2 linked regions of the Caenorhabditis elegans genome follow. The protein of the gene in region 2 purifies or fractionates together with the protein of the main gene of each other region. This does not show direct contact. Each region holds a gene or a part of one and is shown on either strand. Other genes may lie near its edges.

Region 1 (5,860 bases), on a different chromosome or scaffold from region 2:
CGAAAAATTGACTTTTCTTCGTGGGAGGTCTGAAGAAAACGCGTTTTCTGTGAAGATTCAATACGGCAGAGATAAAAATTTCAATTGAAATTGATTTAATAACACTTAATTTAAAAAGAGAGTTTAACTTTTTCGCAAATTATAATTCATATAAGAAGGAAAGAAAATTGGTGGAAATGAGACCGCCCATGAAGAAAAATCATTTTCTTGTCGAAAAATTAACAATTTCATATTTTAGAGTTGGAATTTTAATTTCAAAATTATTTTAATAAATAATTAATCAATATTTACACAAATGTAAAAAATAACACGAAAAATTTAAAAATCCGCTGATTGGCCTAAACTTCGGTGGCCCAAGACCACACACGAAGATAACTAATTTTCTCATTTTCCAGATGAAAAATTAAGAATTTTATATATTAAAATTGAAATTTCAATTTTAAAACTAATTTAATTTGAAAAAAAAATCAAATTATTCTCAAAAAATGCGAAAAAAATCGATGATTGGCCTAAAATATCGGTGGTCCAAGACCACCCACGAAGAAAAGTGACTACAGTAACCTGTACGTCAACACCATCACGTCAAAATGCACAGACCGCGAAATTTGAAAATAGTTTATCTGAATTTGCGAATATATTAATAAAATGACCATTTAAATTAAGTTTTATATAAGAAAAAGCGATAAATTATTTAAAAATTTTAGAAAAAAGTTTTTTTAACCTCCAATTTCTGAAAAAAATATCGAATTTAATAAAAATAAAACATTTATTGACGAGATCAAGAAGAAAAAAAGTTATTTTTAAAAAGCAGCCGATGGATCAAAAATTCCGTTGAATCGATTCGAAATTCTATTATTATATATGGCAGCCTGTGGTACTGGATCATATGCCACGTCGCGTTCCGTAAATACTCCTGTACACTCATTCGGGCACACGTCCTGTAAGAAAATCATGTCAAATAATGTTAAAATCACGTGGTGCCAGGCTGCCCTAACACGGTTTGATCTACAAAAAATGCGGGAATTTTTCGCCCAAATATATGTGACGTCAGCACGTTCTTAACCATGCGAAATCAGTTGAGAACTCTGCGTCTCTGTTCCCGCATTTTTCGTAGATCTAAGTAGATCAAGCCGAAATGAGACACTCTGACACCACGTGTGAAATGAAAATTTTAATACCGTCAATTGAATTTCCGGGCTGCCGAGGTTCGACACAGATGGTCCATTTAATGGCTGGGCGTTGAAGAACTGAAAACTTGCGCGTAAAGTATGGTGCATTGAGAGGGGCGGAGTTAATACATCGGATTTCACACGCAAGTTTTTTTGGCGGGAAAATCGAATTTTTCAGAGTTTCCGTTACGGATTTCTGGCTTCCCTCATAAATTGAAATGGAAGAGTTTGCCGAACTAGGCCATTTTGGCTCGGCCATATCTGGGGTAGATTTACGGCGCGTTGCGTGTCGCGTCGCGGCTCGGTTTTAGTTGTAAAACTAAATGTATTTGTCCGTGTGGAGTACACGGCTTTCCCACGCGTTGTCCGGCAGGATTGTCAATGGAGGGCGAAAAATTCAATGAGGAAGGCCAGAACCCCGTGTTTCCGAAATTTTTTAAAAATCAAAATCGTCATTTTTGTGGGTTTTTTTTCTATTTTTCTCCACGTGGATTACACAGAACACTTGTCAGTAGAGCACTCTTGCATTTCTGGTATACCCGAGAGTTCCTGGATAGCAAAGCCATAGGTTTATTTTTATTTTTCCAAGCAAAAACAGAATCCCAAATTATTATAAAAATGGAGTGAGCAAAAGAGAGAAAGAAGTTAGTTAAAGATCTTGCGGGTACACTTGTTGGCACAAATTTCCACAGTGTGTGGAGCAGCATTGTGATATCCAATTGATCCGTCTTCGATGGATCCTTCGGTGACGAACTGTAACAGGGTGTTATGAGGAGGTAGGTGGACAGGTTACGGTAGAAGTGGGGGGGGGGGGGGGGAAGTGATATTTTTTGTCAACTTACATTCCATGTTGTGCATGTGGAGAGGGAGCCAACTGGGCGAGCAAATCGAGCCACGAGGGTGTTGCCTGAAACATAATTTGATAATAAATTTGCGCGTGAAATATGGTGTTTTGGAGTGAAGAGACAGCTATGACCTGATACATCAGAATTTACGCGCAAATTCAAATATTGAAGTTTTGCGCGTGAAATTTGATGCATTGTAGCCGGTGTTTGTACATTTTGGCGATAACGATTCAATACATCAGATTCTACGCGCAAATTTAAATTGGCGGATGAAATTAAAAAAAAATTGCGCGTTAAATTTGATGTATTGCCGCCGACAGTTTTAAATTAAAGGTATTACTGGAACACTAAATTTCGAAAATGCGTATTGCGTAACATATTTGACGCGCAAAATATCTCGTAGCGAAAACTACAGTAATTGTTTATCCGACTACTGTAGCGCTTTTGTCGATTTACGGGAACTCGATTTTTGAATGGATCGATCGATAGAATTTTAAAATTAAGCATAAAAATGACAAAAAAAAATCGAGATCCTGTAAATCGACAAAAGCGCTACAGTAGTCAGATAAACAATTACTGTAGTTTTCGCTGCGAGATATTTTGCGCGTCAAATAAGTTGCACAGTACGCATTCTCGACAGTAAGTGTCCCCGTAATAATCTTGGTCAGAACAAGACAAGGCATGGCCTAGAAAAAGACACCTTGGCCTAGTTTTTGATTTTCTAGGCCACGGCGTACTAAACTCACTGTTATAATCGAGAGATTGAAGAGTGACAGATGGAGAAGCATCGAGTGCAGGTGCTCCGTATCCCTGAGTCGTTCCAGTCACAAGGCTTGGCTTAAAGTCTACCACTTGGAAAATGACAACGATTAGATCGCTCTGCAAATTGGAGTTTGTAGTTTTTGTAGTTTGTAGGGGAAAGTAATATTACATACCATATCAGGTCCAAATCCAACTGCTGACCATTCATTGTTTCCAACGTTTTTTGTGGTAACTTCGACAGTTAATTCTCCATCCACAACCTGAAAACATTATATCTTACGCGCAATTTTTTTTTCAAGGAATCACTGCACAAGACACAGGGCCTGCAAACTATTTAGTATTGATATCAGAAACCAGATTTGTTCAGAGAAAAAAAAACCCTAATATTTTTGCGCAGTTTTCACTTTGGCCTGATAAAATCTGATAAAATGACCTTGAGTGTGGCCGAGAAAAAAAAAAGACTCGGCCACCGTATTTTTTGGGGGGTAGGGTAAAGCTGCCTACTTCATGCCTACCTACCAGTTATTTTCTGCCATTTTAAGGAAAAAAAAATTTTTGGCTTAAAATTTCCAGTCGAAATTTTTTTCTAAGTTTTAGTTTTTTCTGAAATTTCACAATTTCAACATTTCAAAAAATGTTTCTTGTAGCCTTTCAGATTTTTTGCAGAAAAAATCAAAAATTACCTCCAAAGTGTTAGGATGGTCATTGTTTTAGGCGAAAAAATTGACTGAAAAGTTTTGAAATTTTTCAAAAAAAAGTATTTTTTAAAATTTTTTCAGATAAAATGAAAATTGTTTCAATGTCATTGAAACATCACAATAACGATATTATTCTCAAAAAGCACATTTTAAGGTATATTTTATTTTTAATTAATTCTTTTAAAAAAACATTTTCAGTTTTTCTAACGTTTCCCTAAAGTTTCATGCCTTTTTCTTTTTTCTAGTTTTTCAATAAATATATTAAGGGAACACTAAAATTCTTAGAATGCGTATTGCACAACATATTTGACGCGCAAAATATCAAAACTACAGTAATTCTTTAAATGACTACTGTAGGTCGATTTACAGGCTCGATTTTCGAAATGATTTTTTTTTTTCGAAAAGTTACATCATTTCAATAATTTACATTTTTCAATAAATTAAAAAATTGAGCCCGTAAATCGACACAAGCGCTACAGTAGCCACTTAAAGGATTACTGTAGTTTTGATATTTTTCGCGTGAAATATGTTGCGCAGTACGCATTCTCAGAATTTTGTGTACCCATAATAGTTGTTCAAAACGATTGGCACCAAGAATCAGTTTAAACAAACCACTTGAGTTGTGCTCAAACAAAATGACTCACCTGCCACCGAGCACTAATATCTCCACTTTTAGCTGTGCATTTAGCTGATTGTGCTCCAAGAATAGCTAGAGAAACACAAAGTGTACCCAACAAGAAGCCGAACATTCTCTGAAATTGGGGAAATATGTTTAAGAAATGAGGAGAGGTGATGGGTTTTGGACTGGTTGGCAGGGATTGTTGGCAAATAATGGAAGGAAAAGTAAGAAAACAAATAGAAGAAGATTGAAGAGAGAGAGAAAAAAGGAAAAAGAAAGAAAATATTGTAAATGAGGAAGCAATTGAAGACATAAGTCGTCTATTAATGACGAATGATAAACCAGATTCGACCCCAAACGACCCGAGTTTTTGTTTCGAGAATTATAGTGTTAGAATATGAGAGAAAGAGAGAAAGAGAGAGTGAATTGTAATATAGATGAAGAGATGAAGACGTTTATCAAGAAACTGAAGGAAAAAAGTTGACTTGGGATTATTATAGTAGTCCCGAAAAAAACTAACAACGAAAAACCGGGAAAAATTGATGGAGAAAAATTGGCAAATTTCCGGAATTAAAATTTGTTTTATTTTTATTTTTGGCAAACTGTCGATTTGCCGAAAAACGGCAAATCGGAAAATTGCCGGAAAAGCGGCAAATTTCCGGATTCGAAAATTCCGGCCAATCGGTGAATCAACATTTTCGGCAAATTCACAGCAAATCGGAAAATTGCCGGAATTGAAATTTCCGGTAAATCGTCGTTTCCGGAATTTCCTGCAAATTGGGAATTTGACAAATTTCTGGCAAATCGCCGGAATTGAAATTTTTGGCAAATCGGCAATTCGGCAAGTTGCCGGAATTGAAATTTCCGGTAAATTGTCGTTTCCCAAATTTCTGGCAAATCAGCAAATTGCCAGAATTGAAAATTCCGGCAAATCGGCAAATCGCCGGAATTACAATTTCCGGTAAATCGGCATTTCCGGCAAATTGGCAAATCGGCATTTCTGGCAAATTTCCGGCAAATCGGCATTTCCGGCAAATTGGCAAATTGCCAGAATCGAAATTTCCGGCAAATCGGCAATTCCGCAAATTGCTGGAACTGATTTTTTTTATTTTTGACAAACTGCTGATTTGCCGAATTTGCCGAAAAAACAGCAAATCGGAATAATTCGAAAAAAATGTTTTAAAAATTAACAGAACATTTTACAATTTTCTAATTCTAAAAAGGAATTTTGAAAAGGAAAAAAATTTTTTTTTTCTCGGAATATATTGGAAAATCGAAAAAATTTAGGTTTTCTATTTTAAATTCGAGCGCAAACCAAGGCTGCGCCGACCAATCAGCACATTTTGTCATTCGCTGATTGGTCAGCGCTTTCCTCATTTGCGCGCGCACGTGGTGCCAGAGTGTCTCATTTCGGTTTGATCTACATAGATCTACAAAATATGTGGGAGAAGAGACGCAGAGTTCTCAACTGATTTCGCATGGTTAAGAATGTGCTAACGTCACTTTTTTCCGGGCAAAAAATTCCCGCATTTTTTGTAGATCAAGCCTTTATGGGACAGCCTGGCACCACGTGTACTAAATGAAATTTTTTGAGAAATAAACCGCTTAAAATAACCAGGAAAACGACCTACTTCTCCATTTTTCTCTGGCTTACAGAGATCACGACCAAAATTCGTTTAGAAAGAATAAAGAACAGTTTTGGGGATGAACAGGTCGCCGTAGCAGTGATCTTATCATATTGTGGGTGAAAAAAAATGATTAAGTGAC
Region 2 (4,922 bases):
ATGATAACTTAGATACAAACCATGTGGAAAATTTTGTGTTTATTATGTTTTCTAGATTTTTGTTGTTTCCGTTTTATGTTAATAGCCTACATATGTTTTTGCGGAAAGCATAAAACTTGTAGTGTGAAAACAAAACGTGAAAATTTAGAAAAACTCTGATTGCTACCCGAATACTTCGAAAATTTCACACAAATATTCGAAAAATAACTTGAATATCCTTTTGTATGTGTGTTGTTGCAATAAATCTTCCCGATTGGAAATGCCTGCAGAAGCAGCATCCGAAAACGTGGCACTGGACAAAAATCTGAAGAAGCTGATCTCTTGGCTAACTCCGTCGAGATGTGTTCCCATACGTTGTAATGGGCGGATAAGAAACAACCGACGGACGGGTCCCACGACCACACACACCATACTCACCAACACCGCCATCACCAACAATTGGCGCCTTCAATGTGTCTAGAGTACATCTGTTCTTAATTTTTCTTCGACTCTTTTTTTCGATACCAGACGGATAATTTTGAATGGTTGTTTCAAACAAAGAGAATTCAAATTTTTTTGAGTGATAATTTTGAATTTTCATTAGTTACCATTGCTAATTCTTCAATAAAAATTACCTGGCGTTCCGTTCACACAGTTGAATAAAAACTTTTTTCAAATTTCAAGTAGGAAATTATCATTCATTGTAATTGGTTTTTAGATACTCATTCATTCAACAGTGCGTTTTTACAAGTTTAACGCTAGTTGATTTCCTGAAACTTCTGATTTTGATCTGAGAAAAACAAGTTTTTAATAAATTTTAATCCTTCCCCTTTCAATCATTTTTATCAATTTTTTATCAATATACACGAGATTCAATTAACTGATCACTTTTTCTCGGCTTTCTTCTGTTCCCACAATGATCTGATGCTCCTGCTCCATTTTGTTCTCTATCCATCACCTCTTCCTTCGCCTCTCCGCCCGCATTTTTGTGTTGTTGTTCTCTCTATCTCTCCTTTCCTGCTTCATCCCACTTCTTGATGTGCTTTGGCTCAATGTTTTACACTCTTCCTTCCGAAGCAAGAGGAAGATGAGAGAGGATCCCCAGTCAGAACGTGTGTAATAGTAGGAGAGCACCACAGAAAGTTGGACAACCTTAGGAGTGGGCGGCACTTTTTATACTAATTTTTTGTACTTACTTATTTTTATGCTTGGATATTATTTTTCTTGGAGTATTGTATGTAAACTAAATTAACTATACTCCAAGTTTTACAAAGAGACACCTATTTTGAAGTCCGACTAAAAGAAAACGTATGTCTAAATTTTAAACATATTTTGATAAGTCAGAACAAGCGGTTTTTTGTTTTTCACCCTGCTCCCTTCTCTTCCAAATTTTGCCATCAACAATTGCCAATTGTTTGGAAAGCCATCCCAGTTTTCAGCGTTCTTGCTTGATCCATCATCCTTTCTTTCTCCGGTTTTCAGTTTTTGAAATCTTTTAAAATGTCAGATTACCGTATTTTTGTTAGTAATATTGCCCCGGGGTGCTAAACTCTGAGATTATATTACCTGTTGACACTGGATCTTGCATATTTCTCCAAATTTAACAATCTCGCTCAAATCATGTTAATTTTTTTTCAGTAACCAATAAATTTTCCAATATTTCAGAAAGATCACAATACCATCATAAAATGGCGCCAGGAGGGGCGCCGAATGACGCCAACCTCAGCGCTGTAGCGCAAAGAGGACATAGTGAAGAGGGTGATAAATCAACAACAACACTATCAACAATTGCTGTAAAAGCTGGTGTCAATGCATCAATTGTAGTTGCACTTTTAAAGGTTGAAACTATTTTTATTAATTTTTTAAACCTAAATTCTTTAGAGTGCTGGTTATATCCAACTTCGTGTTGATGAAATGCAGCCGAAGCTACTTTCGATAGGAAATTCATCACAAGAAGCTAGAGATTTGCTCAACATCCATGATGATCTCATCAGAAGGCTTCAAGTGAGTTTCTGTCAAAAGTTGTATTATAATATATTTCTACTGTTCAGGACAAAGATGACCAGGTAGTAGCTCTCTTGAGTCGTGCCGACAGCCTCGGAGCAGAAAAGACGAATCCGAACGAAGCGATTGTTTACGACGAAATGGCGAAGAGTTTGCGGGAGGTTTGTATGCATTTCGGTTTTTTTAGTATTCTTACCCAGCTGCACATAAATCAGCCCATTAATCTGCGTAGTGTAGGAATCCAGACGGAATGCGTTTTCATGTTTTTAGTCTTCAGTACGACCTTAAAAATGTCGCATCTTCAGACGTGGAGATCGTTGAACAGACAACTTCTCCTCAGAGGATATATGCTCAGAGAGACTGTACAGTTTTATACATTGGCTGAAAGTCATGAAAAGGTTAGTTGATTTTTGAAACCGTTTTTTATTGTGATTTTATTAACTGCAGTTATCCAATGCTAAAACTATTGAAATTGTGCAACAAATCAACGAGCAAAACTCTCAACAACTTCAATCATCCATCGATAAGCTTATTAATGGTAAGCTTTGATTTTATAATAAGAAAAAATAAATCTGAAATTTCAGACATCATTGACACAACTGCTTCTGTAGTAGATTTGGGATCTTCCGTCATTTCACAAATTCGTACATTGGGACAACTTGATGACAATCCAGAGAGACCACAAGAGATTTTAGATGCATCAGTAAAAATTGAAAGTGTTATGTTGAGGTAAGCAACTTTTTAAAACCTAGGAATATAGTTCTGCAACTTTTTTTAAAGATCTAAAATTATAACATTTTATTTAAAAAGTAAAATTGAAGAGTTGCTGCTGATTGGGAACGATCCGAAGGACTTTGGCAGCAGCGAAAGTCGGGAGCAACACAACAAAATGCTACAACTACAACAGAAGATGAACTCGTTGTTATTGAACAATGGCTAACTTATGCGGAAAAGAAAGTCAAAGCTCTCAACGATGCTGGACAGAAAAATGTTCTTACTGAAGGAAATGTGGGTTCAATTTTATGTACCTGAAAAAGCAATTACACATTTCAGAAGCATGTATCCCGTCTTCGTCACCTAGCGCAGAGTCCATCATCAGACGGGGGACGTATTTCTCATCTTTCCGGTAGAATTGAGGAATTCCTTCATTATCTGAAAACCCGAATGAATCGATCACATCGAATTCACGCTTTCCTTCAAGCCGCAAAATCGATGGTATCTCAGTTGAATATGATGGTTGAAGACATGAAATGCGCAAATGCGGCTATGGCTGGAGAGCTAGCACCTTTGGCAAAGCAGAAAGCATCTCCTCTTATCCACGAAGGAAAGGATATCGCTTGTAAGTTTTCTAAAAATAATTAACAGGTCAATTATCAATAAAAAGAATCGGTAAAAATTATTCTTGCAGCAAAAGAAGTTCTGAGCTACGAAGAACAACGACTTGTCAAGCAATACGTTGAAGATTTGTCAGAAAAGTTGCGTGAGATAGAAGCTCTTGCAAAGCAAAGGAAAGAGTCTGGAAAGACGACTTCTCATGTACGTTACCATTAATTTATAATAACTTCAAAGGTTATAATTTCCAGTTCTCAAACATCCAATCATGGCTGGATGGACAAGCTTCTGCATTCTTAGCACAGAAAGGTGATATGGGTGGAAATTTGAATGATGCTCGTGATTTCGTTGTCTCTCATAAACAATTTGCAACTGAAATCGTCAACCGAGACGCTGACGTTATGAGTCTTCTCGCCAAGAAGCCACAAATGTCTCCAGATGAAGAACAACAACTGACCGATTTTATGAAGAAGTATGAAAAAATAAAAGACATTTCGGAGAACCGAATTCAAATTGGCTCCACTTACGAGCAAGTTCACAAGTTTGGAAAAGACCTTGAAGGTTCATTTGATGCTCTTCAAACACTTTTGGAGAACAATCAAGAATATACAAATGAGAAAGTGGCGGCACAAATTTCCAACGTGTTCCAGATGATTTTAGAAACTTTGAGTCAAGAGAAACATCAAGGTTTGTTACCATAATTTGGTTGGTATTTTTAAAACGTAATCTTTCAGCTGAAAAGTTCATATCAAATGCAACTCAAATCGGAAAATCAGACGAGTGGTTGAATATCCAAAGAGCTCAAGAAGCAGTTCGCAATATGATTACCGACCATGAGAACAGATTCAAATACGTTCAACACAAATGGACTGAGTGGCAGAGAGATAAGGTAAATCGATAAAATGTAGGATTTGCAAAAGTAATTTAAAAATTTAGAATGTACAAACCAAAGTTGAAACTGTAATCGAAGAGATTCAAATGTGGCAGACAGATGTTTTAGAGTTTATTGGAAAGGTCGATAACTCAACGGTCACAAAGAAAGAGGTATTGAATAATTTTTCACTGTAATTTGGTAGATTATTTATTGCTTCAGGAAGTTGAGGAGATTCAGAAGAGGATTGCTTCATTCAAAAGTGCTGCTGATATGCATAAATCAACATTAGAGACATTGAAAGAAGAAAACCAAAATGAAGAACAAATCAGTAGAATCAACGTTTTAATTGATAAAACTGATTACGTCAAAACACGGCTTGATCAGTTGAGCCAGAAAGTTGAACTTACCTCTTTGCTCAAAATTGTGGAAGATGTGCAAATATGGCAAGAAGAAATGGTTGAAATAATAAGAAACATGAATCAAGTTGTCACTACTCAATCCAACAACCAAGAGCAGTTCGAGCAAGTAAGGCGAAAAATTGAAGATTTGAAAGTTGAAGTCGACAAGAAGAGCGAACATTTGGAAGCATGCAAAACACTTTCGCATAGTTAGTTTAAATTTTAAAACATTCAGAAAAAGATTTCAATTTTTAGATGAGACATTCCAAACTCAGCTGCATAAAACAATTGAGAATCAAGAACAAATCCGTCGTACTACTATCGAACTTCAAGAG

Evidence for each region.
Region 1: the proteins of F21C10.7 (region 2) and Y54E10A.17 fractionate together in Caenorhabditis elegans (co-fractionation; one large-scale study listed by BioGRID). This does not show direct contact.

The regions. Positions count from the first base shown.
Region 1 is NC_003279.8:3,205,167-3,211,026, reverse strand, and holds Y54E10A.17 (DOMON domain-containing protein), read right to left. Parts: upstream 4,266-5,860; 5' UTR 4,224-4,265; coding exon 4,119-4,223; intron 3,037-4,118; coding exon 2,950-3,036; intron 2,894-2,949; coding exon 2,761-2,893; intron 2,077-2,760; coding exon 2,012-2,076; intron 1,923-2,011; coding exon of another isoform or gene 1,815-1,922; exon of another isoform or gene 1,248-1,814; coding exon 1,179-1,247; intron 939-1,178; coding exon 801-938; 3' UTR 755-800; downstream 1-754.
Region 2 is NC_003283.11:9,111,123-9,116,044, forward strand, and holds the start of F21C10.7 (Ig-like domain-containing protein), read left to right. Parts: upstream 1-1,644; 5' UTR 1,645-1,667; coding exon 1,668-1,817; intron 1,818-1,860; coding exon 1,861-1,983; intron 1,984-2,030; coding exon 2,031-2,144; intron 2,145-2,288; coding exon 2,289-2,381; intron 2,382-2,430; coding exon 2,431-2,521; intron 2,522-2,567; coding exon 2,568-2,712; intron 2,713-2,804; coding exon 2,805-2,991; intron 2,992-3,036; coding exon 3,037-3,322; intron 3,323-3,391; coding exon 3,392-3,519; intron 3,520-3,566; coding exon 3,567-4,002; intron 4,003-4,049; coding exon 4,050-4,204; intron 4,205-4,251; coding exon 4,252-4,359; intron 4,360-4,408; coding exon 4,409-4,796; intron 4,797-4,842; coding exon 4,843-4,922.